7 linked regions of the Mus musculus genome follow. The protein of the gene in region 6 interacts with the protein of the main gene of each other region in a pairwise test. Links are inferred from orthologs where the notes say so. Each region holds a gene or a part of one and is shown on either strand. Other genes may lie near its edges. The genes, in order: Syt6, Csnk1d, Bahd1, Kat7, Wt1, Dvl3 and Snx22.

Region 1 (3,796 bases), on a different chromosome or scaffold from region 6:
ATGAACATGCAAAAACCTCCCTTCCAACAGACACATACATACACACAATTAGATTTCTAAACATATGTGTGTGTGTGTATATATACAATAAATAAAATAAAAAAATTAAACCCTGATTCTTTGAAACCTTTCTGGGCCTATTTCAGGTGATGGCGGGCAGGCTAGGATCAGACGTTGTGTGTGGATGTGGCCCATCTCCCAGACTAATGAGAGGACCATGCTCCAAATGAGGCACTGCGCTATGTGCTGTTCGTAAGCGGCTGAAGCCCTCCTTCTGGACATAGCAGGATTGCTTTGCTCCTGCCTTGTCGAGATAAAGAACTCCATGTGTCTGGTTTCAGCTAATGAAATATGAATGGAAGTGACATGTCACCTTTGCCTGGAAGCTTTACAGAGTGCTGCCTGCCTTGCTGTAGCTTCTTCATCCTGATGTCTAGTTGTGGGAACACACATTGGAATAGGGTCCCTGTGGGCTTGAGTCCCCTGGTAACAAGGTCCAGTAGAACCCACAGGCAGGCTGAGAAGCATATGTAACACAAACAAGAAATAAACCTTAGTTGTCTTAAGCCAGAAATTCCCAGTATTGTTTGTTACTTCAGCATGACTTTGTTCATACTGACTAACACAGCCTGGTCTTGATCACCAATTTCAAACTTCTAAAATACAGCAATGACTCTACTGACTAGTTCAGCATAGATGCGCTTTCAATTAAAACGAATATATAACATGATTGTATAGATAGCAAACTAAAGGTTTAGCAGGTAGAGAGAAACACTCATACCCTACAATCAAAATTAAAAAACACAGCTTCTTTCCCTCCCTCCCTCCCTCCCTCCCCCCCCTCCCTCCCTCCCTCCCTTCCTCCCTCCCTTCCTTATTCCATCCAGACTGAGTTCAAGGACTTCCTCAAAGCAAACTGGGCCACGAGGAAGTTCCCATAGTTCCCTATGTACCTCTAGGGGGACAGAGTGCTGAGGACACTCTTACTCAACTCAGAACTGCCCATGCTCAGGAAGCCAAGGGAAGAGGCCTGTACTCACACTAGTAGCGTACTGGATGTCCTTCCAGATGGAGGTCTCCCGGGACAGGTCAGAGGCCTCAAAGAGATTGTCCAGGATGACCTCCCCAATCATGTCATGGCGGGAGAAGCGGTCAAAGTCAAAGACACTGAGATGCAGCTTGCGGTCAGCCAGCTCCTCGTAGGGCACGGGGAAGTGGAAGTTCTCATCAAAGGTGGGGTTCAGGGTCTTGCGGTGCACCCGGGTCTGCAGCTTGCACTTGCGGTCAGGCAGGAGGTAGATCTTAACATAAGGGTCAGAACTTCCGCAAAAGTCCTTGGCAGGGAGGTCAAAGGCCTTCAGGATGCGCACAATCAGCGTCTCGCTTTCATAGTCATAGCGGAGGCTGAAGTTGATCTTCCCACAGCTCTTGGCGGCCTCCGACTTGGCATCATCCCCATCCACTGACTTCTGCTTGTAAAGCTCAGGCTTGATACGGCCAATACTGGTGGGCTGCTCGGCGGCAGCCGGCGGCAGCTCATTGCCATAGTCCACGCTGGAGACATGCATCTGTCGTGGCAGGTGGCGCTTGAAGGATGTGTGCCTGGTGAGCACAGGAGACACAAAAAACATGCGTGAGGGCTTCGGTGGGGGCTGGGAGAGTGGGCTAAAGGCAGACCTAACCCTGCTGGCTCCTCATCCCTCTTATGGGGCTCCCCTTCCTTCCCTCTCATTGACCCCACTTTTCCTCTTCATACCATTTGTGCATGAAGCAGTTGGAAGCATTGTATGTCTTAATATATGTAAAGTAGTTGGAATGGTGCCCGATGTACAGCAAGCTCAATAAATGTTAGCCATTGTTTTAATCATTGTTCCTGCTTTTCTGACATCTGCTTTCTAGGTTTCTTTCCTGGTAAGCATGACTACCCCCCCCCCTCCATTAAAGCATGAGCCTCTATAAGAGAAGGACTACTGTTCCCACTGCCTTCACCATCACCATCACCATCACCACCACCACCATCACCACCACCACCGCCACCACCACCACTGCCCGCCATCATGACGGATCTAGCATCCCACAGACAGTCAAGTAGTTAAATGCATCGGCTTAGGAGATAGACTACATAGGTTAATTTTGGTCCTGCTACTTTGAGCAAGTGATTAAACTCTCTGCACTACAAAAATAAAGATGGTAAAAGTAACAACTGCCGAGAGTTGTGTGATAGTAAAATAGATACAGTGTTTAAAACAGGGCCAGGTGTGCGATAAGCAACATGTGTTAGCTCTCAGCACTGTCACATGGATTCTTTGGTAGTTCCTCCTAACAACCGAAGCAGAGTCATTTGCCCTGTTGCACAGTTTAGAAAAGTGAGAAATAACTCACTTTAAGCTATATGCCCAAAGCCATACAGCAAAGTCAGCCTGTGCCACCTTAGCACACTCATTCCTGGCTTCTGCTCTGAGTACTCTTTCCCTTTGATTGGTGCCTGTGAGCCTGAAGGAACACACACCACAGGGATCCAGGAATCCACAAGATTCTCAAATTCTGAGTAAACGTGTCTTTTAAGGATGTTTTTGGAGTTAGAGTAAGCAGGAAGCCATCCTGTCTGTTTTTGGTATGCTTTTAAATTAGATGAGGCCATGTTATGTAACTACTGCCATGCGGGGAACTCAAAGGGCATTAAAGAAATCCTTGCTCTCAAATAGCCTGGGCCCACTTGCTTTACCTCCAGTGCATGACACACTGCAGCCACGAGGCTTCACTAACCTAGCCCTTAATGCATCGAGAACTCTCACGCCTCTGGGCCTTTGTGTATACTCGTCCCTGTGTCTGAAGTTTTCCCTTTCCTCAACCTAGCTTCTAGTCTAGTCTTCTGTGTTCTCGAATTCACTCTCACGTGCTAAGCACATGAACAGCATCTCACCTTGAAGGTTCCTGGTTCATCACACCTATCCTGACACTACCTCCTCTTCTTGATTGGCACCTGGGCTGACACCATCTGCTCTGGTCCTCAAAGAACATATGCTATTAGTTCTGGGCCCTGATCCTCAGGGGCTGGGATCTACTTGATGCTCTGGATCAGAAAGTATGGCTGCACGGAGGGGGTGTGGGGTGGAGTTAGGAAGTGAGGAGCACGCCACTCACCTGGTGGAGGATGCTGGCTCTGTGGTCTGTCGCTGCAGCTTTGTGTGGCGCATGATGTGCTCTTTGACCGACATCTGCACCTCGGCTGGGATGTCTGGGGAAGTGTGGCTGATCTTCACAGCTGCCTCCAGGAAGCCCAGGGCACTGGGGTCCTTCAGCTTATCCGCCATGTTGCCTCTGGAGCTGGGGCTCTGGAGAGTCTCTGAAGCAGGGTTAGCAGAAGAAGGGCTGGAGGCCTCTTTCTTCCTCCAGGGCATCCAGCACAGCTTCCAAAAGAGAAAGAGAAAAACTGCCACCAGGGCCACGCCACACACAATAACTACCACGGCGAGGAGGCTGACAGAGGTGCCTGCCCTCAGCATGAGGCGGGCAGGGCAGGACAGAGAGACACACAGAGGTGGGGATACGCAGGTGAGGCATTGGAAGAAGGCGCACACGGAAGGGACAAAGACGGAAGAAGAGAGAAGAACGGTTATGAGCAAAGCTACCAAGTCACGGGAAGAAGCTACGGTTTGGACCGCTGATGGTCCATTTTGTCAACTGTCTGCAGCCTTGGCGTTCACCACAGTCTGGTTGCTTTAGCATCACCCTGCCCCAACCTTTTACCAGCATGGGGAGCACTGGCGGCTTACCCTACTGCCTCTGGCTTGTG
Region 2 (3,796 bases), on a different chromosome or scaffold from region 6:
GGAGGAGACGCAGATGTGGATGAGCGAGTATCTGTGAGGAAGAGGCCTGGGAACTAGTTCACACTACCCTACCTTCCCTGAGTACCTCCTTCCTGAGAGACAGACAGGGCAACAGAAGAGGACACCTTACAGCCTGGCACCTCTAAGGCTCAATCACTCACGGGAACCCTTCTTATGCAGCCAGTGCCTTTTCTGGTGTTCTAACGAGAGCCTGGCTAGCAAACACAAATCGAGTTATAAAAACCCAGTCGGTGTGCCAACGACAGACGTCTCCCCAACAAAAGGTACAAAGCAAACAGGTATATTTTGTCTTCACTGGTGGAGAAGGCGGCGGGGCAGGGATAGGGATGTCCCTTTGAGATCGAGCAGAAGAGAAAAAGCTTCACACAGAGTTCACAGCCCATTACAGTCCTAGCCAGGAAACAAACCCTTTAGAAACCCAGCAAGTCACAGGTTCCAATGGGTTAAATATCCACAAAAATAAGAAAAAATGTGGGAGGAAGAAAGGAAATACAGTCTTCACAAATGTCGCCCCACTCCTGACTATGAACCTGAAAAGATCAGTCCTTAAAGAAAGGCAGGGAGAGCCAGTGTCAGCACACAGTGACAAGGACATGCACCCCACACAGGTCTGGCGCAGCTAGGCCTCAGTGAGCTCTACATGCATACCTGTGAGGTGGACATGCGAGAGGTATCTTGTCGGCCCGTGAGATCAGATGAGGAGACGTTGACTGGGGCCCCACGGTGCAGCCGCATACTCACTTTCCGTTCTCGTTCCATGCCAGAGACAGGCCTCGGAGAGGTGTTGGCTGGAGAGGAAGAGAAAGCATAATTATTAAATACCCTTGGACCCACTAGATGGAGAGCGCTCAATGGCCGCAGGCACCTGCTTTTAGAAAGGACCCAGTTTGGGTTCCAGTATCACATGGTGGCTCACAACTATCGCTACCCCAGCTCCAGGAGATCTGATGCCTTCTTTTGACCTTCATGGGCACTGGGTACACAGGCAGCACATATACACACGAGAAAAACACCTACAATACGCCTAATTATCTAAAAACAAACAAACACAAAAAACTCATAAGCCTGTAGGCACAGCAGAAACTAATGACCCTAGCCAAGTACATATCCTGAATCTATTAACTGGCTCAGGGCTACACATAACCAACTCAAGTTCAAGTGCTCAGCAACTGAAACCTGATGGTAGCTGAATGCATTCTAAGGCCCTACATTTATCAATATAAAAGTCAGCCCCGAGTATTCAAAAGTTTGAGAAAATCTATGAGAGCTAGACTTTAAAAAAATTTACGTGTGTGGATGTTTTCCCTACACATCTCTGTACCATGTGCCCAAGGAATCCAGAAGAAAGTGTCAGTTCCCTTGGAACTAGAGAGACAGTGTAAAAACTGACATGTGGGTGTTAGGAAATAAACCCAAGTCCTCTACAAAAACCAGCTAGAGCTCTTAACCACTGAGCGAGCTCTCCAGCCCCATGAGCAACAACTTTCAGGGAAATTAACTTTAAAACAAGTCTTATAAAAGGGAAATTTCTTTCTTTTCTTTGAGACAATATCTCACTATGTAAACCAGGCTGGCCTTAACTGACTAATCCAGTCACATACTGGGATGGTTAGCAATTCATCAACACAGCAAACAGAGGTCCTAGTTTGGTGAAGCACAGTAAGAGGTGTGCTTACCCGTGTGTGAGGTAGGGGTAAGGGGCGTTGGGGGAGCCACTTCCTGGGTTCCCCGCAGACGGCCGGAAGCTGTAGAAGGGAGGCCACGAGTGGCTGGATTCCGGGAGTGTCTTAATCGTTCTTCTCGATCCCGGCGTTCCCGCTCAGCATCATCTGCAGCCCGGCTGGCACCCTGATGAGGAAAGATTAGAATAAACAGGAGGAAAATAGCCTTGGTGGTTTTTTAAAAGGCTAGAGAGATGGCTCAGCGGTTAAGAGCACTGACTGCTCTTCCAGAGGTCCTGAGTTCAATTCCTGGTAACCACATGGTGGCTCACAACCATCTGTAATGGAAATCAACGCTGATATGTCTCAAGACAGCTACAGTATACTCATATAAGTAAAATAAATAAATTAAACAAAACAAAACAAAACAAAAGGAGAAGAGAAGAGTGCCCTTTGAAGTCTCCTACAGCAGGCAGCGACACCAGAAAGTCCATGCTCTCACAGGAATGATGCCTGCACAGTACCAGGAAGGCCATAGTCCCTCTGCACTCTCCACCATACTAGAACTCACAGGTACAACCTGCCACCTTAATCCCTACCTATCAGTGTTGGCATGTGAATGCATTAGAGAAAGGAAAGAAGACTGCCTAAGACCGGGAGTAGAGCAAGGCAGAGTTCAGACGCCATGGCAATGCCAGCCTTTCTACATACAGGCCAATGGTAAGGACAAGAGTCAGATTTCCCCTGGAGCAGAAATCAGAGTCAATGTATCATTCTTACCGCTGTGACACAGAAGGCACCTGCAAGCACTTCCCTGTGCTGCCTGTTTAATAATTAGACTTAGCTGTCTCTTGAACCCCCACCATAGCAGAAGGTCTAGGCATCTTGTGAGCCAGCTCACCCCCTAGGGTCATCTTCCAAGCCCTGGTTGATCAACATCCACACAAGCAGCACTAGGCCCACGTACTTCTAGTTCACAGTGCCCTGCCCCTGTGAGTTGACACGGCGCAGCTGACAAGGCCCTTGGTGCGCACACAGAGGACACAGTTCTTGCTGCTCCTCTGACTAGATACATTACCTACAAAGACTCTAATCTCTACTTCAAATTACAAAACAATTCTCCACTGAAACAGGTCTTGTTTTGTGCCCAAGACTGGCTTCAAGCTAATAACCAGCCTCCCAAGTGCTAGAATTAATTAGAAAGGTGTACAATTGTGCTTGGCTCAGAAATGTATTTTATTTTCCTCTATTTTATTGAGTCTCAATTTGTAGCCCTGGCTGGCTTGGAACTCACTATATAGAGCACGCTGGTATCAAACTATCAAAGAGACCTGCCTGCCTTTGCCCTTCTGAGTGCTGAAATTAAAGGTGTGAGCCATCATGCCCAGTCCAAAAATTTTTAATGGAAATAGACATGCAAGTTTCACAAAGCCTTTAAAGTTAGCAGCAGCACCGCCTGGATGATTACAGGGTTGGTCACCTCAGACAGAACACCAGGCACTTTACCCAGAGGCTCTTCTGAGGTTTATGAGGTATACACTAGATCTGCGATGGGGGTAGGGGTGCTGGAGGAGGAGGGGGGACAGGGCTTAAGATACCACCAGCTTCCTGCCAGCCCAGACCATCATGCCATGCCACCACAGGTAGCTGAATTCACAAGTTCTTATAGTAACTGGAATAATCTAAGGTGGACATGGGGACAGCAGTACTTGTAGCACCTGGAAAGCCAAAGTTCAGTGATTGAGAACCCTTGCCTCCCTTACAGAGGGTCTGAGTTTGCTTCCCAGTACCCACAGAGGCTCACACTAGCTTCTAACTCCAGTTTCTGGGGATCCGACCTCCTCTTCTGACCTTGACAGCACAGGCATACACATTGTTTACATATATACATGCAGACATACTTACACACACACACTCTCTTTCTTACACACACAAAGGCTAACCCTAAAAAAATAAATTCTCTCAGAAGTAGCTTTATTCCTTAAAAATTAAAGAAAGGAGGAAAATATAGGAAGGACAGCAGGCAAGCCTTTCAACTAAGAACTAAGGAGGACTTACCAATCCAGAAGGAGCTGACTCTGAGCAGACCTTCACCACAGCTTCCTGGGCTTCTT
Region 3 (4,536 bases), on a different chromosome or scaffold from region 6:
TTAACTCATTACTTCGATTCCTAAGAACCTTCCAATCTACAAAGCATTTGAGAAGATACCATGTTAGACAATCCATTTTCACAAGCTCACTGGTCAACGCCAAGACAAAAAACAAGTGGGAGAGAAGGAAGGGGTAGGAGCTGGGTGCGAAGGGCAGGACAGACAAAAGTGCTCAGCAGGACTAGCAAATAGCCTTAGGGACATTGCCTAGGGTTAGACTGCAGCAAAAAGAAGCCAGCACAATTGAGTAAGAAACTGACATGTGGAAGGGGTGCTTCGGAAGAAAGATCTGGTAGCTAGCTGTGTACAGACTGGACCAGAAGAGCCAGAGGAAGCAGGAAGAAACTGACCCGGGAACATGGCAACAGAGAGGGAAGGAGGGAGGGAGACACCAAAAAGAACAAACCAACCCCAGCAATGGTAGTGCACACCAGGACGCAGAGAAGAGACTTGCTGCCAGTCCCAGGCTAGCATCCGTTCTAGAGTGATAAGAGGTACAGGAGAGAAACAAGGGAGGAGAGGGACAGAAAGAGATGGCTACCAAAACCATCTCAGTTAATGGCTCAACTCCCCAGGGCCAGCCCTCCCAAACACTCATCTGACAGACAAGTATCTCCTGCCAGATTAAACCCCTGCCACAGAGGGAAATGTTATTTTGGCAATTCCCACCTTCCAGCAGCCAAACCAGGTCACCCTTCTGACTGCCACCAAAAGAAATCACACACAGTGCAACCCCAGCAAAAGGAAAGATTCTCCAGCCTTCTCTGGATTTTAGACATACAATTAAACTCTCTCCAACAAACTTCAGTCTCTTGTGTGAGGTAATACCCCCTTTCCCCACAAGCCTCAACTCCACCCAAGCTGGGGTCCAGACTCTCCTGGGGAGAGAGCGCCGGGGTGCTATGAATGAACTCCATACCCTGTTCCTGCTCCTTTGGCAGACAGCAGCTTTCTCACGGTGGGCTTAGAGCCAAACACAGCCGAGTGCTGCTCTCGACCAGTCCCACTGGTGTGCCACTCCAACCCAGATTTTTCTCAGCAAAAGGCCATGTTCTCAGCTGTTATCAGCCTGAGACTCCTCTCTTCCTGTTCCCAACTTAATCACATGAGGAGGGGCACCGGAGCCGAGTGGATTTTCTCAAACGGGTAAACATCATACAGCCTAGAGCTGCTCACCCGCTGGGGTTAGCGCTCACAGCTTAAGCCAGAGATCCCAAAGTGTCCTAGAACAGTGGTGTCCCCAAGAAATGTGGTCTCTCTGAGGCTTTCCTTGTTGGTGGAAGATTATGGAGGTAGAAGATGGGGAGAAACGTGTCAGGTGGTACAAAAGAAAGCTGGAAACCTTATTTTATGTCTTCAAATTTCTGCCTCAATTTATGGACTCAGCTTTATCATGTCCCTATGTGGGTACCTTCTTGCCCAAGGAAGACGGCTACAGCAATAGTGAAGGCATCGCCAAGCACAGTGGGTGTGTGTGTTGGGGGGTGGGGTCCCTTAGTCCCAATCCAAGTAGCCGCCTGTGCTCTTAAGACTGCCGACAATGGGCCACTAGGAGACATCCCAGGTGGAGTTAAACCTCTACCGAGAGGCAGACTTGCTGAAAGCCTCACTGCTAGCAGGCTCCGCTCGCCTCTGTGAGTCCACCAGCCCATTCGCCACCGGCCAGGGCACTCGGTGCGCACACCCCTCAACCCTGCCCCTCCGCCTTGGCTAAGTCGACCCCACTCTTCCCGGAGCCGCGAGGATATCTGCGGCTACAGACCAGAGCCAGTGCCGCAGCTCCTCCCGGTGGACGCCCCGGCCCCCGCAGTCCCCAGGGCAGAGTCCGGCCCCGTGCCCGCCCCTTGGGGTGGGTGCCCCGGACTCGCTCCCCTCCCCGATACCACTACCTGCGCCCGCTCGGGCGCCGCCTTTGTCCGGCTCTTCACCGCCGAGCGGGCCCCTTGGGCCCGACCTGACCCGGTCCACGGCCCCAGAGGAGAGGCGGCGGGACTGGCAGGGCACAACCAGGCCAGGCCTGGAGCACCGGGTCCCGCTGTCACTTGGAGGCGGTCTGACAACTTCGATTCCCCCCGCCCCACCTCGGACTCGGCCGCCGCCCCGCACGGTCCCCACAGGGCCTCCCGCGGCCCACACTCGCTGTTCGAACCGGTCCCCTTCCGTCTTCGGCGCCTCCCTTCCTTCAGCCCGACCCGATCGAGTCCACACTACCCCTCGCCCTGACGCGGCCCCCATCCCCATCCCCCCTCCGGCAATTGCCGGTCAGCTCCCAACCCGGGAGGGCGCCCCCCACCCCGAGAGGGCGCTCCCGCGGCGACGCCCCCAGCCGCGGCCCCTAGCCTCCGGGACCACGATGGGGGAGGGGGCTTGGCGGGGGCCTTGCCGCCCGCGCACTCGGAGGCGAGCCGGCTCCGCCGCGGCGAGGAAGCACCCCGCGTCCTCCCGCCCTCCGTAGCCCGGGACGCCCGCGCCGCCGCCGCCCGGCCAAGCTGCCACCCTGCGGCCGCCACCCACCCCGCCCCCGGCCTGCGAGGCGGGCGCCCCCCGGGGGCTGTCACCTCGAGGCGCGCAATGCTCCCCGATGGCGGGACCGCAGCGCCGGACCCGGGGGAGGGAGGCGGCGCGCGCGGGCGGGCAAGCAGCCGCACCTGCTTCTTGTCGTCCGTCCGTCCCTTCCCGGGGCTGGCGGGGGCGGCGGCGCGGCGCGCTCGGCGGGGCGCGCTGACGGGCGGCCGGTCCTCTCCCTTTTGCTAGTCCGCCTACCTAGCTCGCTCGCTCTCGCTCGTTCGCCCTCCCCTACCCCCTCCTGGATCCCGGCTCCTAGCTCACCGGGACGAGAGGCGCGGACGGCGCGGCTTCGGGCGCCCGCAGGCCCTGGCCGGGCTGGAATCCGGCGGCTGGAACCCCCCGGGGGCGCTCAATTCCCGGGCTCCACGCTGCTGCGTCAGCGCCTCCTCCTGGGGGCCGGGGCCGGGCAGGCGGAGCGGGGGCCGCGGTCGGGCGGGGCCGTCGGGGGGGGCGGGCGCGCCTGGCCGGGGCGGGCGGACGGCTAGGGCCGGACGGGCGGGGCAGGCGGCCGGACGGGCGAGCAGCGGGGGCCGGGCTCCGGGATCCGCTACGCCGCTCGCGGTTCCCCCACAAACTCCCCGAGAGCGGAGCCTCCGCCGCCCTCCTTCCTGCTTCCTCGTCCTCAGCCAATCAGCGGCGCGCCCCTCGGCAAGCTCCGCCAATCAGCCGCCCCGCCCTGCGCTGGCCCCGCCAGCCAATCCGGCCCTCGGCTCCCCCTCCCGGTCTCCAACCAATCAGAATCGTGGGTCGGTCGTCCCGACGCAGGGGGCAGCACGAGGCGGCCGGGGGAGGCGGTGCGGGGAGTGGTGGGGCCTGGGGGGAGGGGTACGGTGCCAAGGGTGGTGGCGGGGGATGATTTTCTTTGCCGGCTTCTTGTATTTTCTCCTGGTCTTTGGAGCCTGAGCCAGTATCCCATGGTGACCTGACCCTGAAGCCCCAGCACCTCACTGCAGACCCCCACCCTGAAAAATCTTAGCGCGCCCCCTCCCTGACCATCACCCTTCTACATCCCTCTTTCCTCGTAACCTCTCCAGCACCGGCTACAGTAAACTGAGGGTCGAGGGGGCACCTCACCCTCAGGCTGCTGCCCCCATGGCAAAGCTTCGGGAAGACCAACCGAAAAATTCAAGCAAGAACAACACCCCCTTTCCTCCTGAAAGGGCCCCAGACTCGCGCGAAAGGGCCCCGACTCCTGAGAAGCCCCTCCCGCCCTTGCCTCATCTTTCCGACTTCCCTGCTTGCCACGTCTCCTTTCCTTCCTAGCAAGGTCGGTCCTGGCTCGGTAACCCCTCACCCGCATCTCTTTTTCCTCTTTCTGTCCTTCACCTAACGCCCCCCACCCCAGTTCCCAATTCGCCCTCTTTCAGAAGCCAAGTGTGGAACCCTCATCCATTTCCAGCTGACAGCAGAGTCTGGTCTGTGAGTCCTTGACACCCACACACCCTCTTCCACCACCGCGGGGAACATCAGAGCTCTCCGGTGGAGAGGGAAAGGGGCGGGCAGCCCAACAGGCGCGGCTGGACACACTCCTTCGCGTCCCCAAGCTAGTGTAGAACCAGTGCAGACACTTACCTAGCTTCCCCATAGTCGCCTTATGCTGTGGCTCCGTCTCTCACACCCACAGACGTGCTTTTCCAAGCCTGAGCACGCTCTCGGGGTCAGCTGGGTGGGTGGGCACAGCAGGCTGAGGTCATATGAAGGGGTGGGAAGTCCCTGGGAGGTGCGGGAAGGGGCTGTGTCCTGGACACCTTGTAGCGCCAGAGCCAGCCCAGGACTTCACTTCAAGGAGCTGTAATGTGCACACAGTAGGTTCTTGAGAAATACCGAGTCCACCCCTGAACAAAGCCTCATTTCCAATTCAGGCGGGGGAGGGGCGCTTTGGGAGGTAAAGGAGCAGGAGCAAAAAAGGGTAGTGTCAAGTCACCCGAGCCTGGGAGCAGCCGGGGAGGGGCTGGGCCCTGGAACGCC
Region 4 (3,796 bases), on a different chromosome or scaffold from region 6:
GATCTGGAGTAAAGACTGAGCTCCACTTGATTTCACTTCACCATAGCAACAATCTGTGGCATCTTATGCAAGCTAATGTCTCTAAGCTTGCTTCTTTGCCCATGAGAGAGAAAAATACTCACTTTAGCATGGAAAATAAAATAAATAAATAAATGATAGACAGTAGTAGTATATTCCTCACGCTTACTTACTGTGAGTAAGGTCTTGGTTTTTTTGTTTTCCAAAACAGAATCTGAGTGTAGCCCTGGAACTCGCCTTGTAGACCAGGTTGGCCTCAAACTCAGTGATCCACCCACCTGTCTGCTGAGCTGCTAGGACTAAAGGCGTGTGTGCCTTACCCCCAGTGGGAAAAGAGTTCTTTACCAATATTAGCGACATGCCTGTTTCTTCCCTTGCTATATATAGCCCATCATAATACAGATGTCCTAAAACTATATTTGGGAGGAGGTTGCTTGTTCTTTGACTACCCTTGTACTCATACGGAGTTACCGACGGTGGGGTGAGCCGCCATGTGGGTGCTGGGAGTCAAACCCAGGTTCTCTGCAAAAACAACTAAGTGCTCTTAACTACTGAGCCATCTCTCCAGCCCCTTAAGTTCTTCCCATAGAGAACCCTCTTCTAAAGCTTTCAGAGACCTTTCACATCTCTAGTCTGATGCCTCTTAAAGGAAATAAAATAAAAGCTAAAACTGAAGAGTATTTTAAATGACAACCTATGACAATGTCTAAGTTGAAATTGTCAAACTGTCAGGAGAGGTAAGTTGGTATGCAGGCAGGGTCCAAAGACTATATAGTTTTAGGGTATCTTTATATCTTTTCACAAGTCTGTCTATACTTCACACTAGGAAACCCTGTGACTGATGCTCCCAAAGATCGTGTAGCTTTGTGGCCATGAAATAAAATAACTACAGAGACCCCCCCCCCAGCTCTGTTTTGAATATCCATCACCTTTAGGGCATAGCTAACTGCAGTGTCTAAGAACCATTATGACTCTTTGTATATATGATTCCTTCTGCCCCAAAATATTTTGCTCATCTTCAATATGCAAAGTCCTACTGGACTCCTCCAGACTGTTCTAGGAGACCTTCTCACAGAATGTGGTTGCTCCACCCCTGGGCTTCCAAAGGTTTTGTTTTTGTTTTTTTGTTTTTTCAAGAGGGTTTCTCTGTGTAGCCCTGGCTGTCCTTGAACTCAAAAATCCGCCTGCCTCTGGAATTAAAGGCGTGCGCCACCATGCCCGGCTGACCAAAGGATTTGTTAACAAATCATTTTATTTATTTGTATGTGTACAGACATGTATACATACATATACATACATACATATATATATATACATACATACATACATACATAAAACACGCACACACAGTTACTTTTTTGGTTATTTTTTGTTGAAAGCCAGAGTCTCAGTATCTCTGGCTAGCCTCGAACACTCTATATAGACGGGGCTGGCCTTGAATTCAGAGATCTGCGGGCCTCTGCTTCCAAAGTGCTGGGACTAAAGGTGTGCAACACCACACCCGACGCCATATTATAATTTCCCATTTACTCTATTGTTGCAGACTGATAACCACCTTTGTATATTAGCTGAAAAACCTTTCTTCCATGCTGAATAAAACTAGGAGGGGAAAAGCCTACTTCTACATAAGCCCAAGTGACTAAATACATTAGAGAGCCTTCCAAGTACTTCTAACCACAAGCCTTTTGTTTATTTCACTACCAAAGCAACATTCTGAATATTTATTCAAAGTTATTCTATCAAATGTGACTCTATATTCTAGAATTAAAAGTACCTTTAGAAGCATTAAATCTCACTGACACACTCAATAAGCAATTTAACTCTTAAGCCATTTTATAGTGATGAGATAACATTCCCATTTTATCGTTTTACGATGACCTATAACGAACGCCATACAGTCTTCAAGACACCTGCATCTCACATTTATATAAGCCACTGCCTATAAAAGAACATCTGACAGAAACCACTTTGAAGACCGAGTATTTCAGCAGCTGCCTTACACTTTGACCATTCTACCACCTATACCAATGGTTTTCAACCTGTGGGTCTCAACCCCTTTGTAGGTAGGGTATTAAATGATCCTTTCACAGGGGCCAAATGTCAGGTATCCTGCGTATCAGATATTTACAGTATGATGCATAACCTTAGTAAAGCTATGGTTATGAAGTAACAACGATTATTTAATGGGGGGCTGGAGAGACAGCTGCTCTTCCAGAGGTCTCAGCACCCACATGGTGGCTCATAACCATCGATAATGAGATCTAGCGCCCTCTTCTGGCCTGCAGGCACACACACAGACAGGTGCTGTACGCACAATAAATCTTTAAAAAATAATAATTTAAAGGAGGGGGGTCACGAAAACATGAAGAATTGTACTAAAGGGTCGCAGTGTTAGGAGGGCTGAGAACCACTGCTCTCCATCAAGCTCAGGAGCAGTATCCCTATGAACCAGCACAACAGAATGACACCACTGTCCACTGTGAAGAAGTCAGGGGAAAGGAAAACATGTTTACCTTGGGAACTCTGGCTTAGCCTGGCTGAGGAGCGGGTGACTCGGGCAGATCGGCGCGAGGTGCCATCACTCTCTGAACTGTCTGTATGCTCGAGATCTGTAGAAAAATCGGAATCTTCGGTTCCATCTGAACTACTGCCTGCATTTCTCTGCAATACCATAGATCCAGACATTAGCACAAAAGCATTTACTACAGTTTTCTATTAGCACTGGAAGTAAAATGAACCATGATGCTGAAGTACCAAGTTCCAACATAAGGAAGGACTCCACCACCAGCCAGCCTTTCCCCTCCCTGCTGTGCAGAGGCGCTGCCCTTCCTTTCAGACATGCTAGTGGAATGACCTACAACCAAACCACCTGTACTCAGCAGACCGAGAAGAGAAGTAATTCTTCGTGTATTATCACTAATTCTGAAACAATCTGGACTGAATCACTAGAAATTGGAAATAAAAGCACCCAACCCAACAACAAAACACCCAAATCAAAATGGTCTGGCTAGTCAAGAAAAAAATAAAAAGGACAAACGAAAGAAAAAGCACAGTCCAGTGGCTGACAGCACAGGCCGCTCCGGCAAAGGACCCTAGTTCATTTGCCAGCACTTGCCCACTTGGTAGTTCACAACTGAAGTCTGTAACTCCCGCTCCAGAGGGAGCCAAATACCTCCAGCCTCCGCAGGCACCTGTTCTCACACATCCCTACACACATCCAGATAATTAAAATAGTACAACTAAACCTTAAAAAAAAAAAAGGAAAAGAAAAAGTCCAAGATGGCATATAAAATGTTATTGCTAGGCCTCACTGAACTTTGGGGTAAATTTTATTCAAATTCTCCATCAACAAAAATTATATTATATATTATAATATAATAAAAATTATATTAGCTGGGCATGGTGGTGTATGCCATTAATCCTAGGAGTAAGAAGATCTCTGTGAGTCCAGGGCAGCCTGGTCTACATAACAGAGTTCCAGGACAGCCAGAGCTACAGAGAAACCCTGACCGGGGTCATTTCAAAGTATGTTCTTGGGGCTGGAGAGATGGTTTGGTGGTTAAGAGCATTTGCTGCTCTTCCAGAGGACCTGGGTTCAATTCCCAACATCCATGGCAGCTTACAACTACCTGGAGCTCCAGTTCTAGGAGCTCTTTTTTTTTTTTTTAAGATTTATTTATTATTATATGTAAGTACACTGTAGCTGTCTTCAGACACACCAGAAGAGGGAGTCAGATCTTGTTACGGATGGTTGTAAGCCACCATGTGGTTGCTGGGA
Region 5 (3,796 bases), on a different chromosome or scaffold from region 6:
GTTCAGCCAAACGCTGGGAGAAAAGACCCCAAGAGTGCACTGAGTTTCTACAAATGTTTCCACCTCCTAGAATTCTGACTCACTGGATTCTGGGATGGAGAGCTAGCTACTTCGTGGTCAGTAGGGTCTTTCCATTGATGGACAGCTCCAAGTTTCTTTTCCTGTCTCAAGACCTCTGGTGCTTCTCTGGTTTCTGTGTGTCTCCTGTAGCTGACCTCACTACTCTGAACCCTCCTCGCCCTTCATCTTTATGTCCCCGTTCCTACCCATCCAAATGCTAAGCACACACCCTTCACAAGGCTGCTTGCTCGGCAATGCTGTCTTATGGTTTGAAATGGAATGTCTCCCACAGACTCGCGCATTTGACCCCTTGGTCTCAAGCTCATAGTGTGTGAGATCTTGTGGAACATTTTAGGATGTGAAACCTAACAAGAAACAGCAAGCTGCTGTGGTTGTGGCCCTGGAGACATAACCTGGTGCACTTCTGGCTCTCATCTCCCATCTTCCGTCTCCCTCTGCTTCTTCATCCAGAGGTATGAATGATCACCTTCATGCTCCCATTGCTTTAAGGATGTTCCCAACATTATACATTCCCAGCCGTGATAGACTGTGTTCCCAAACAGTGAGCCAAAGGGAAGCCATTTGTGAGGTGTTCAGTGACAGTGGTGAAAGAAACGTCTGGTACAACCTGCTTGGAAACCTCACGGCCTTCTTTATCAAAGAACTGATTCCCGAACATCTATGTGTGTCTTTGGACCTACCCTTCAAAGTTTATGGTGACCTTGCCTGTCAATCTCTGAGCCACCTGATTGTCCTATCCCAGGCTTGTCTTCCCTGTTAAAGATGATAATAGTGCTTCAGGAATAACACTACCATGTATTCAGTCCAGGAGACACAGGTCCTATGCTAGGTGTGTTATAGCTACAACTCCTGTAGCACAGCTTGAATTAAAGTGCAAGGCTTGAAAATTGTGTACTGTTATACACGACAGTATACAGCATTGTCATCCTCATTGTCCTTACAAGGCACTCCGAGTTCAGAAGGATGTTGAGCGATGGTGGCTCAAGGTCTCATCAGTTGGTGGTGAATGCAACGTTCAAACAGGTGTCACTTTTATTCTGTGGCGTTTGCTTCTCACCACCCTGTTCTGCTTCCTTGGATATGGCTGAAAATGTTGGTTTCTTTAATAAAGGATGGGAAACCAACATGCCAACAGCCCTGCAGCTTCAGAGTCACCTTGGCTTGAGCTTTCAAAGCACAACCTTTCTACCCCACAAGTCACCTGTGACCTGAGCAGTGTCAGAGTCCAGAATGGAGGCTCATGAAGCACCATGGCTCGACAGTGGACACACTTACCAGTGTGCTTCCGGCTATGCATCTGTAAGTGGGACAGCTTAAAATATCTCTTATTGCAGCCTGGGTATGCACACATGAAAGGACGTTTCTCACTGGTTTCAGATGCTGACCGGACAAGAGTTGGGGCCACTCCAGATACACGCCGCACATCCTGCAGGCAAAATATAAGAGGCATGGAGACCTTGTGCCATATGTGAACATTAATGTTATCCCATGGGAAACAGAACGCTGAAATATACCAAAAGAAGAGAAGGAAGGTAATGATATGAGACAAAAAAAAAAAAGTTTGCTTCCATACCCTAGATACCTGTGACAGACATCACTAACGGATGATAGATTAGGAAATCTCATGATGCAGTATTCTGATTACAACTGATCAACAGAACTTGGATTTGAAATGAAACTTCTTGGTGTCCCTGACACAGAACCTCTAGAGAAGAAGCATTAGTGTCTACAGAGTTCCCAATCTATCTCTCACTTGAGATAGAATTCCAGATCCCCAGAGGGTATGCATGCCTCCCCATTGGAAACATGACCATTTGTTTATGGACTCAGCCAGAAAAATGGATGAGAAAGTTCTTATTGGAGAAGACATGAGACACTAAATGAGGCCCAAAAGGACCTAAGCTTCACATCTAAATAAATGATAAACAAGTCTTTGGATCTGGGGCCTCTGAATCCACCAGATTACTGTAGTATAATCAGCATGATCCTTGAAAGTGACACAGGAAAACACTGGGCGCTGTCCACCTTCTGTGACTTTTATGTCTTATTTCCATAACACCTACCAGTTCCTGTCATTTAGCAGGGAAAACAAATCTCCTTTCTTGCCCTTAAGCTGTGATTCCTTGATATTAGAAATAATTCCTCCTTGTTCAACTACAGATGTGTCCATCAAGGCCAAAGGCATGGACAGCTGACACAGGAACACATCTGTGATGGTATGAAGACCTGGGCCAATCTCTAAACCAGTGGTTCTTAACCCTCTTAATGCTGCAACCCTTTAATATCATTCCTCATGTTGTGGTGACCCTCAACCATAAAATTATTTTATTGATACTTCATAACTGTAATTTTTCTATGTTATCAATCATAATGTAATTATCTGATATGCAGGATATCTGACATATGACTCCCAAAGGAGTCATGACCCACAGGTTGAGAACCACTGCTATAAGCTTAGTAACTCCCTCTTCTATGTATCTTCCGATCTGCCCATTCACACACTCACATTCTTGTTACTAGTTCATTTCCCTTGCCCTGAGAGGGCACTTTTTTTGTAAGGAGAAATTCAGTACTGTATTGGTAGGTCATAATGTATGTCAATATTTGCCTTTCTACCAGGGCTAATGGTGGTATACAAATGAATCATAGGCCAGTAATTTGTTTAGCATATTGTAGAAGAAAAAGAGTAAGTGGGGAAATAACACCTGTACAGCAAGTGTGGTGTCTACTAGAGGCTCTGACAGTGGATCTGATAAACGGAGTCTGGTAGGAAGGAAGGCACAATAAGCCTTCTTCATCTCTTTTCATCTGAGATGAAGACCATGTAGGATTAAGACTAAAAGCAGCCGTTACTGTCAGTCTGCCGTCTTCTGAATGATGCTGATGGTGTCTGCTGTGGGACACTCACATAACTCCTTCTATCACATCTCTGCATTTCTGAGACTTGTTTATTCCTCACCAGAGAGAGTCTTGTGATAACAGAGAACACTTTACTAATTCCATGAAGTAGATCTCCTTGCCCACACCACATAGGGCCTGGCCCACATGCAACTTATTTTCAGGGTCTTAGCTTCCCTCCAAAGGACACTCTAGCTACTTCTCTTGTGGCAGCCACTGAATTGCATTTGTAAATAACAGATGTGAGTCCTTGGTAATTGTGGTTCTGACTATCCAAAAGAGGCTTGGGGCCAGGTAGGGCCTCCCCTTGAATACACTACATTCTCTGAGATTCTTCACCTACCCTGGAGATCTCTCCCTCCTGTTTCCACTGATCAACAATATTATTTTATTTCTACCAATCAACAATATTAATCAGCCAAACAAGGATTATGGAGTCTGATAAAATATGTGTTGTACACCTGAGCTCCCACTTACTAGCTATGTGGTTTTAGACAAGTCTTTTGTCTTCTCTCTTAAGTGTGCAGTGAGGGTCACATGAGAGAACAAAGGCCTGCATAGACATGCAGGAATCATAGACACAAGTGGCTAAGTCAAAGAAGTTAACCTGAAAATGCCACACAGAGTATCCAAGAATGTTCTGAGAAAGGGGCGATAATTGTTGGGAAGAGAGAAATGGGAAAGGGGTATGATGTATAGGTAGTGAGCACCTTGGAAACAGTAACCTATGCTGTATAATACTAGATAGGTAGGTACATACATACATACATACATACATACATACATACATACATACGTAGATACATAGATAAGTAGA
Region 6 (4,336 bases):
TCCTGAGGATAGACTTCAGGTCACCAGGCTTGGTGGCAATGGCCTTTATGCACTGAGCCCTTTCCCTGACTCTCCCAAGGAACTTAATGGCACTAAGTCTACCCCGTGCTTCACAAATAGCTTTGGAGACCAGGTGAGAGTTGGGGACTCCTTAGGTCCCACATTCTGAACCTGAGGTGGAGGCCAGCAGGCTTCCTCCTTTGACAGGCTTTGTCAACGGGGGTTACTGGCCTAGGCCGCCTGAAGTGGCCTCTGACATTCCCAGTTTGCCAAGGCTTACCATCCTTCTGGAGAGGAGAAATCTATAGAATGGCCATTTACATAATATAGTATTCCTCACCGGTGTTGTGTGTGTGTGTGCTCTCTTTCGTTCTGTCTCTCTCTCTCATGTTCTCTCTCTCCCTCTCTCCCTCTGACACCTATACAAACACACATACACATACATACATACATACATACACACACACCTCTACAATGGTGTGATCCAGACTTTATATTTTGGAGTGAGAGTCCCCCATATCCAAACAAATTCTGTCATTTACCAGCTGTGTGGCCTAGGGTCAGCTTTATTGAGGCCTTTTTCATTCTAGTCTCCTGATTTTCATCAGTGTCCATTTCATAGACTGGTGTGAGGACTCCAAGATGCAAGATGTACAAGTGATGACATCACTGTCAGGCAGACTGTAAGTACCATATGATGGGCTTGTAAAATAAAAAATGAAATAAGCTGTCAACGGGATCCTCTGCTATCCTAACTCTGAAAAGGATGGCCTTGCTGGGTCTTTTGCTCACTTATTCTCGTAGATTGGGGGGAATAAGCCAAATAAGAACACCCACTTGATTCTTAGCATTGGTCTCAATTCTGGTAGAACAGCCAACCGATATTTTGCAAAGGGTGCTTCAAGGACCACGGGTAGATACAAAATGGCTTAAAGTGGCATATGATAAATGTTACTTAGTTCAATAGTTGATTTAAAGAAAGATATTCCTGAGCAGTGAGCAGATGCAATGGGGGCCCTCTTATAACTATAGTTAGACCTGCTCCCACGACAACCTTAGGAAAGCAGGAAGCAGCTCACAGTGGTCCCCAGAGGCAAGTCCGGGTAGAGATACAAGACGATTCTAACCCCTCAAGACATCTGGCCTAGCATACCCTGAAATATTATCCCAGTTCCTTCGGATAATAAGAAAGACCCTACTCTTATTCCTCTCATGCCAGGTTGAGACACCTACCTCCTATCCTTAGTTCTTCCAGATATATCATTTTCAGGGTCTTTCAACCAGGTTTGCCTATTCTAGACTAAAGCCAGACAATCATTATCACACAAGAGTCTCATCCCAGGGCAAGAACAGAATCAGTAATAGATCTATTCTCCACTCTCCAACACACACACACACAAACACTTCTAAGAATTCATCGAATGCTGAGTTCCAGGGGTAGAAAATGACAAATAAGTCCGGCAGGAGACAGAAGGTGCTTGCCTCCTGGGGCTGGGAGGGCAGGCCTTGGGAGAGAAGCCAGACTAATGTACACAGGGGGCGGGGGGTTGGGGGTGGTGGTGGGATATCTCCCCTCACCCAGCTCTGGGGCCTCAGCTGCAAGCACAGTGCAGGCCTCAGGCAAGTGCATCAGAGGGACCTTCAGGCCTTGAAGGGCCCAGGGAGGGGTAGGGTGTTTGTGTGTGTGTGTGTTCTCCATAGCCTCTAGGCCGACCGTCCAGTTAATGTAGGCAAGCCTCAGCCCCTTGGAGAGGGGTGTGTGTGTGTGTGTGTGTGTGTGTGTGTGTGTGTGTCTTCCCCCTCCACCCCCCTCTCAGGCCAGCTGCTACAAAACCCTCAGGCTCCAACATTCCAACCTCTCTTAAAGGGGCAGTCCCAGCTTCCAAACTGCCCATCAAAAGCCCTGCAGCAGGGTAGGGAGGGGAAGACAAGAGAGAACATCAATAGGCCCTTCCTAGTCTTCCCATCCAGGCTCTGAAGCCCTATGCAACATCTCTGCTGGGACTACCATCAGGAAAGAAAAGGCCCCAGCACCTGGCTAGTGAGAACTCCTCTGAGTCAGGCAACACCCCATCGGCCCAGGGGAGAGGGGAATCTGCTTGACAAACATCAGGTCCATCATCCAGCCTGGTAGAACAGCCCCCAACGCCTCCTTCTCCAGTTCAAAGTCCCACCAGCTACAGCCCTAGATACAGCACACTCCAAATAAGGCTCTGAGTTGCAGAGCTCAGAAGACCGGGAAGGCAGGCCGGGTGTCAATATACTCCAACTTTATGCTTAAATGGTGGCACCTGGAAGGACTGAGAATTCTGGCTTTGGACTGGAGTGGAAAGGATGTATGTCTCTGGGGGGGGCCGCTGGACCGTGGGGAGGTGAGGGGGCTTGAATGGTAGGAACCGATTGCTTAGGGAGGGACGTCTCGCTGGACCAGGGGGGCAAGGCCTCCAAGAGGTGACTGGGAGTCCCTCAAAGTCAAGTGTGTCCCAAGTCACCGAGTCGCTCCCTTGCTGGAAGCGGGGCTAGAAACCAGTGCAGTCAGGGGAGTCGGAACTGGCTGTGTTGGCCCCTAGCAGCGGAGCGACCCGGGCTCCCGGGAGGCGGGGCGGGGGCCATCCTCACCCAAAATCGTCGTCCATAGACTTGAAGAAGAACTTATAGCTGGGCCGCTGCAGAACGCCCTTAAAGTCCGCCAAGGTGACGCGCTCGGCGGGCAGGGGCAGCTTCACCAGGTACGGCGTCTCCTGGCCGTCCAGGTGGTAGATGATCTTGGTCTCGCCCATGGCTCCGGCCTCGGCCCCGCGGCGCGCGGCCTGCTTGGGCAGCGGGGCCGGGCCTCTCCGGCAGAGCTCGGCGCTCGGCGCGGCCCGCTGCTCAGCCCCACTCAGCCGCCGGCCGGGCCGCCAGCTCCCTTGTTCTCCGGCCGCTCCCGGGTCCCAGCGCCGCCCGCCACCGCTTCCGCTCCCCACTCCCGGCGCTCCGCTGGCGATCGCGACTCTTCCGGTGGCCTGGGCCCTCCCGGCTCTGGGCCGAGCCCAGTGCGGCCCCGCCCCGCCTCCGAGCCGCGCTGGCTGCTTGCGGCCGACTGCCCGCCCACCCACAGGGCGGCGCTGGGTCCCCTGTGCTCCGGGTTCAGGCAGCTGGACCTGGAAGTCTCAGCCCGGTGGGACTGGCGGAACCGTGTGCAGGGTCCCGGGCAGGAGGGGAGGGATGGAAGAGAAGTGTCACCGACTGCAGAAGAGAATGGATTTGAAGACCTAACTGGATCCCTGGATGCCGGGTGGCTTCAACTCGGATTTTTGGATTCTGCTGACAGCACAGTTGCTGCCACCGGACCGTACTGAGTTCCTTGAGGGCTGAGCAAGTTCAAGTTTTTATCCCTATAATCTCAGCGTCTCTATGAACAAGTAGTTTGAGAAATGGACTGAGTGGGTGTGGTAGCGCTTACCTTTAATTCCAGCACTCAGGAGAGAGAGGCAGGTGTCTTTCAGTGAGTTTAAGCCAGCCTGGCCTACAGAGAGCTTCAGGACAGCAGGACTATGGAGGGAACTCCTCTCTTAGAGAGAGGGAGAAATACAGAGAAGAAAAAGAAAGAAAGAAAGAAAGGAAAAGAAGAGGAAAAAAAGGACAAAAGAAAGAGAAAAGAAAAAATTTGAGTTAAGAAAGAATGCAAGCAGCCAGGTGTGGTGGAACATTACTTTAGTCCAAACACTGGATAGGTAGGCAAATCTCTGAGTTGGAGGCCAGCCAGTCTACAGAGCAAGTTCCAGAACAGCCAGGGCTAAACAGAGAAACCCTGTATGATTGGGACAGTAGATGTCAAAACTACCTATAGTCAGTTGGTGGTTCAGCTTCTCAGCTGTAACAATGTATGTCAGGTGTGGCTTTGAAACTCCTGACAATTCTCCTGCCTCAAGCTTCTGAGTTCTCTCTCTGATTACATGCCTGCATTTCAGTCACCTCTTCTGCCCAGAAACCTCTTCACATTACCCAATATGACTTTCATATACCCTCAACATGACACACAAGGCCCTTAATAATCTGACATCTATATACCTCTCTAGACTTTTTCTCATTACATCATAACCAATTTTTTTATTATAAGCAGAAAGCATTCAGTAGCAGTTACATGTTTTCAGTTTATATCCTTCATTTAATCTTTTTCTCCAAATAATGTCTGTGCATAAATAAAATGCATTAAAACTTTTCAAGGTTTGTTTTTACCCCCTGCACAGATTATAGGTATCTGAGATGACCAGGAGAGGGTGTCAGTCTCTTGGAATTAGAGTCACAGGAGCTGGAGAGAGAACTAAGTGGTTAAGACCTCTTCCAGAGGTCC
Region 7 (4,448 bases), on a different chromosome or scaffold from region 6:
GGACTCTTCTGTGCTGATGGACGCATGCTCCTCCCCCGGGTTCCTGCCTTAGCCTGTACTAGTGCAACCCACCCACTCACCAGGCAGAGACTTTCTAGCTAGCTCCTGTGCCTCATCTTAAGCTTACACCTGTCAGGCTGGGCTAGAAAATACACCTGACTCTTCTCAGCCTACCTCTGAAATTACCTCACACCTTTCTCTTTATCTTGACTTCGCCACGACCCCTGGGCTTTTAAGAGTCTTGAGTTCTACCAGCTACAGCTGTCAGTGCAAACCAGGCTCAGAGCTTTGAGTGGGGATGGGCACATCTGAGCCTCAGCCAGTTACACCTGAGTCTAGTCCAAGGGAAGACCCATTTTCCTGAGACTGAGGCACATAGCTGTCCTGAAAGGTGGCCCAATGCCTGGGCTAGTCAGGGCACTAGTGATGGAGCAGGATGACAGTTAGCCTCTGGCTGGGCTGGTACCGGGCTGGTGCTGAAGCCATAAAGACCCTGGAGCACGCCGTCCACCACCACTTCTGGGAGAGGTTCTGTGGGGGAGACAGTGAAGGAGAAGGAGCTAGCAGGTGATACGCTTGGCCTTGAGCTTGCAGCACTCTGAGCTGCCCACAGGCTCAGCCGTCTACCCAGAATGAGGCGCCAGTGGCTTTCTCTCTTCCACATCTATTCATACTAGCTTTGGAAGACAGGCCCCAGGGGAACAGAGACCTGGTGAGCCAACTGTATTACACTAGCTTCTACTAGTCACAAAGCAAGCTGCCAGTTACAGGAGCAGCAGGTGGTAACCCCAGAGGACAGGAGGGAGGTGCTGATGGGAACTCACCTGGGGAAGGGGTGCAAACGTAGGGATCCATACAGAAGCCAATGACCGGCCGGTGGTGCAGCTGGGAGCTGTGTGAGAGAGGAGTTGTGAACAGTGAGAGTGGAGAGGTGGCGACGCAAAGGCTCATGGGATGGTCACTGAGGACCAAAATCCATCCCCAGGGACCCACAGAGGAAAAGGAAGAGACTGGCTAACAGGCTGCTGGCCTGCCTCCTAGCACACAACCACCAGGGGTCAGCAGGCCTTTAGGGCAGGACTTTGACTTGCCTGGTGTCACTAGGCAGGAATTCCCCCAGGGTGCTGAAAAGAAGAGAAACACTAAGTTGCTTGAGGATACCCAGGGGGATGGTGAGGAGGGGGTGGAGACACTATAGCCCAGGAGACTCTTGCTTCTATTTTGTAACAAGCCCAGTTCCGGAGGTGGAGGCAAGGCAGTTAGAGTAACCAAAGCTGTCCACCAAAAAGCAGCCCCTGTTCCAAGTCAGGAAAGGTGATGAGGGAAGCGGTGTATCAGAACCAGGCCAGGGCCCAGTCCGTTCAAAAAGGAAAAAAGCTTATCCTAAAGGTTCCCTTTGCGGCCGAGGGCCTTGCCACGTGAGCAGGGTTATCCTTACCTCCAGCTGCTGGTCTTGGAGTCTGTAGGGAAATGTCTAAGTCTCAAGAATTCCAGTAACTCCTTGGGCACATCCTGATTCAGGTACAGGATGCCCTAGAGAAGAAGGCAGAGAAAGTCTGCAATCAGATAAGATCCAGCTACTAATTGCACAACCCATTACAACAATTTTGAGGACATTTGTTCCAAAATAATGAAGACTTTCAAGGCAGTAGAAATAAGTATTAGCCCAAACTCAGGGTCATCCTAAGGAATGAACCGCAAAGACTAGCACCACAAAGTGGGCAGGCTAGTCAAATAACTATCACTGTTAGAGGAAGGAGTCCACACACACCTCATGAAGAAAATACAGGAAAACACCCTAAGGGTGAAGAATCTACTCATTGGATTATTCAAAACTTTCAATAACCCAGATAGAAAAGTTCGTACTCATTTGGATAAAGAGCCTGAGATACTGAATAACAACCCCAAGTTGTGGGACCCAACACACTCCCACATCTCTAACTGGGTCTCCCCTGGTCCCTCAGACTTAGGGGCAACCAAGTGTACCCCGTGCACACCTGGATGTAGGTCTCTAATCCCTGCCGGCGCTGTTCCAGTCCTCTGGTCCTCCAGTTGGGCAGGCGTTTTGAGGGAAAGTCAGGCACTTTGTACCGTTTCTTGATCTGTACATCAGTTACAGAGGTGAGTTCCCAGCAAAGCACTCAAGCCCACTGCATCTAGCTGAGGACTTTCTCCAGTCCTCTCTATATGTCTGTCTTTAAGCTTCAACCTGGGACAGCTGGCAAGAGGTGGTTGGGACAGAAGTGACAAGCCAGAGAGTGGAAAGGACGCACACGGACAAGGTCAGTCTGAGCTGAGCTCTAGCCATTGCGTCCTCCCCGCGAGGGGCCCTGCAGCCCAGGGGGAGTCGCCTATGATCTGCACCCTCCTGGGGGCTGGGACAGTAATGGGGGTGACCAACCAGAAGCTGGGATCAGAGCTCTTTCTCATGCCACCGAGGGACCTGGCCTGGAGCCAAATCGGTGGGTAGTCCGCGACATCTCACCCGCTTGTGTAGAGCGTGGAACTCGCTGTAGCGCCGCGGCACGGTGTGTCTGCGTCCGCTGTACAGCACCTCCACTTGGAACACCTGGCGGGCGGAGGAGTGCAGACGGCGGGTCCAAAGGATGCAGTAGGACCCGCGCCGCGAGACGCGCCCAATTTCTGGTGTTAGAAAGGCACAAAGCCGACTTGGCGTGCCACCATCAGGGAAACCCCTTCCGAACCCCAGACACACCTGAAAGAAAAGGGTAACCGGCCCTCCCCTCTGCTCCAAGCGACCCCTCAAGAGCCCAAACCATTGTCCAAGGGGCTGGCAAAGCCAAGTAACCCCGAACCTTTGCGACGAATGTCCTAGCCCTGAATTCTGGGTCCCTTTTGCGCTGATCGCGAAGATAATCGGTAGATCCCCGCACACACTCTTCGTCCATTTGCTCACCATGTGGCCTTTCTCTGGACTCTGCCTGGGCCCTTCGGCCTCGGGCCCCACCGAGGGAATGTGAACTTCCAGCATCCGCGCCCCGACCCGGCTGCAGCCTCTCCCGGATCGAGCGCTTGGGCACCCGAACTCCCTGGAGCAGCCAAGCAGCCCTAAGAGGCTGACCCGCCCTCGGGCTCCAGGCCCTGCCCCCGGGCCGTAGGCTCCGCCCCACTCTCTGGATTTTTCAGCCCCAGGCTCCACCCTCTGATACGGGAGCCCGCCCTCGCCACGCCCAGGGTGTTCCCTGGCTCACTAAAGTCCTGAGGCCAGAAGATAACACCATGGGTCGCCATGCAAGGGAAGGAACCTTCAGCAGGGTCACCCATTTGTCAAACATTTCCCTAGTATCCCAGGTAGTCAGCCGAGGTACATTTTACCTGGTCTCTCTAAAATTTCACCTGGTCTTTGTTGAATGTCCTGGATGCTAAGGTGTCAGAGGAAGGCACAGTGGGTTTCAGGTCTGGGCTTCCGGTTAGGACCATCCTTGTTCTTAGAGAACCTAGCCACCACAACCTTCCCTCTTTCATGTGGTCCCTGGTAGCACCACCTGAAGACTCCAACTGAGGTAGTGCCGGGGTGAGGCTGGGATCCATTCTAGCTTTGATGAGCACCTACAAACCATTCATTTATTCCATCCACCCGTCCATCCATTCATCCTTCCTACCTTAGCATGCCTAGTTTGCTTCAAGCTAGTGTATGGGGAAGAGGCAGTTTAAAAACCCAGGCTTGGCACTGAAAGTCGAATGGCCTAGATATCAAGAACTGTGTGGAGTTTCTGCACAGCTGTAAAGCAGGTAACATAAGTATAAACACTGAGTGAAGCTGGGCGGCACGGGCCAGGGGTTCCACTTATCTATGAGGCTGAGGCAAGAGAATTGTTTGAAACCAGGAATTCAAAGTCAGCTTGAGCAACTCAGCCAGGACCCAATAGTGGCTTCCTTATGGGCTTGTTCAGCTGGGATGGATGGGTGATGATGGACAGATAATAAGAAGTAGGTACAGAAATGTGTGTAGAGAAGAGGAACAAAAATGAGTGTAGAGGCGGTGGCCCCAGCTGCTCTCATCCGCCCTGCTGGTCTTCTTCAGAATGTAGTAGGATTTTTGTTTGGCACATTGCTTAGTTTGGGTTTGGTTTTTCTAAATATGTAGATACGTTTTCTCTGTGTAGCCCTTGCTGTCCTGAAACTCCATCTTTAAACCAGGCTGGCCTCTAACTCAGAGATCTGCCTGCCTCTGCCTCCCAAGTACTGGGATTAAAGATGTGTGCCTGCCTGGCTATAGTAAGATTTCAAGACAGAATGATCACTTCATGTGTAAACACAGAAATGGCTTCCATTTCTACCTCAGCCCCACACTCCTTACTGGGCTCTAGGTAAAGTGCTCAATGGCCCAGTGTTCTGTTCTCAAACTGGGTCATGTGTGATGGTTATTCTGAATTGCCAACATGGCTACAGGTAGAGTTAACTAAAAAGACAAAACAAACAAACAA

What was found.
Region 1: the proteins of Dvl3 (region 6) and Syt6 interact in binary tests that used the Homo sapiens proteins (3 or more experiments, as listed by UniProt). The two-hybrid records come from large-scale screens. The link is inferred for Mus musculus from reciprocal best matches to the Homo sapiens genes DVL3 and SYT6.
Region 2: the proteins of Dvl3 (region 6) and Csnk1d interact in binary tests that used the Homo sapiens proteins (3 or more experiments, as listed by UniProt). The two-hybrid records come from large-scale screens. The link is inferred for Mus musculus from reciprocal best matches to the Homo sapiens genes DVL3 and CSNK1D.
Region 3: the proteins of Dvl3 (region 6) and Bahd1 interact in binary tests that used the Homo sapiens proteins (3 or more experiments, as listed by UniProt). The two-hybrid records come from large-scale screens. The link is inferred for Mus musculus from reciprocal best matches to the Homo sapiens genes DVL3 and BAHD1.
Region 4: the proteins of Dvl3 (region 6) and Kat7 interact in a two-hybrid assay, tested with the Homo sapiens proteins (2 studies listed by BioGRID and IntAct). The two-hybrid records come from large-scale screens. The link is inferred for Mus musculus from reciprocal best matches to the Homo sapiens genes DVL3 and KAT7.
Region 5: the proteins of Dvl3 (region 6) and Wt1 interact in binary tests that used the Homo sapiens proteins (3 or more experiments, as listed by UniProt). The link is inferred for Mus musculus from reciprocal best matches to the Homo sapiens genes DVL3 and WT1.
Region 7: the proteins of Dvl3 (region 6) and Snx22 interact in binary tests that used the Homo sapiens proteins (3 or more experiments, as listed by UniProt). The two-hybrid records come from large-scale screens. The link is inferred for Mus musculus from reciprocal best matches to the Homo sapiens genes DVL3 and SNX22.

Annotation. Positions count from the first base shown.
Region 1 is NC_000069.6:103,585,039-103,588,834, reverse strand, and holds part of Syt6 (synaptotagmin-6), read right to left. Parts: intron 3,494-3,796; coding exon 3,145-3,493; intron 1,603-3,144; coding exon 1,041-1,602; intron 1-1,040.
Region 2 is NC_000077.6:120,967,326-120,971,121, forward strand, and holds part of Csnk1d (casein kinase I isoform delta), read right to left. Parts: intron 1,870-3,796; coding exon 1,698-1,869; intron 810-1,697; coding exon 670-809; intron 1-669. UniProt on the Homo sapiens protein: Essential serine/threonine-protein kinase that regulates diverse cellular growth and survival processes including Wnt signaling, DNA repair and circadian rhythms. It can phosphorylate a large number of proteins.
Region 3 is NC_000068.7:118,900,051-118,904,586, reverse strand, and holds the start of Bahd1 (bromo adjacent homology domain-containing 1 protein), read right to left. Parts: upstream 2,973-4,536; 5' UTR 2,830-2,972; intron 2,689-2,829; exon of another isoform or gene 2,649-2,688; intron 1-2,648.
Region 4 is NC_000077.6:95,303,518-95,307,313, forward strand, and holds part of Kat7 (histone acetyltransferase KAT7), read right to left. Parts: intron 2,680-3,796; coding exon 2,532-2,679; intron 1-2,531. UniProt on the Homo sapiens protein: Catalytic subunit of histone acetyltransferase HBO1 complexes, which specifically mediate acetylation of histone H3 at 'Lys-14' (H3K14ac), thereby regulating various processes, such as gene transcription, protein ubiquitination, immune regulation, stem cell pluripotent and self-renewal maintenance and embryonic development.
Region 5 is NC_000068.7:105,164,529-105,168,324, reverse strand, and holds part of Wt1 (Wilms tumor protein homolog), read right to left. Parts: intron 1,508-3,796; coding exon 1,357-1,507; intron 1-1,356. UniProt on the Homo sapiens protein: Transcription factor that plays an important role in cellular development and cell survival. Recognizes and binds to the DNA sequence 5'-GCG(T/G)GGGCG-3'. Regulates the expression of numerous target genes, including EPO.
Region 6 is NC_000082.6:20,515,639-20,519,974, reverse strand, and holds the start of Dvl3 (segment polarity protein dishevelled homolog DVL-3), read right to left. Parts: upstream 2,990-4,336; 5' UTR 2,781-2,989; coding exon 2,620-2,780; intron 2,337-2,619; exon of another isoform or gene 2,195-2,336; intron 1-2,194. UniProt on the Homo sapiens protein: Involved in the signal transduction pathway mediated by multiple Wnt genes.
Region 7 is NC_000075.6:66,066,689-66,071,136, forward strand, and holds the start of Snx22 (sorting nexin-22), read right to left. Parts: upstream 3,072-4,448; 5' UTR 2,993-3,071; coding exon 2,918-2,992; intron 2,570-2,917; coding exon 2,486-2,569; intron 2,103-2,485; coding exon 1,998-2,102; intron 1,534-1,997; coding exon 1,439-1,533; intron 1,125-1,438; coding exon of another isoform or gene 1,092-1,124; intron 893-1,091; coding exon 825-892; intron 532-824; coding exon 413-531; 3' UTR 1-412. UniProt on the Homo sapiens protein: May be involved in several stages of intracellular trafficking. Interacts with membranes containing phosphatidylinositol 3-phosphate (PtdIns(3P)).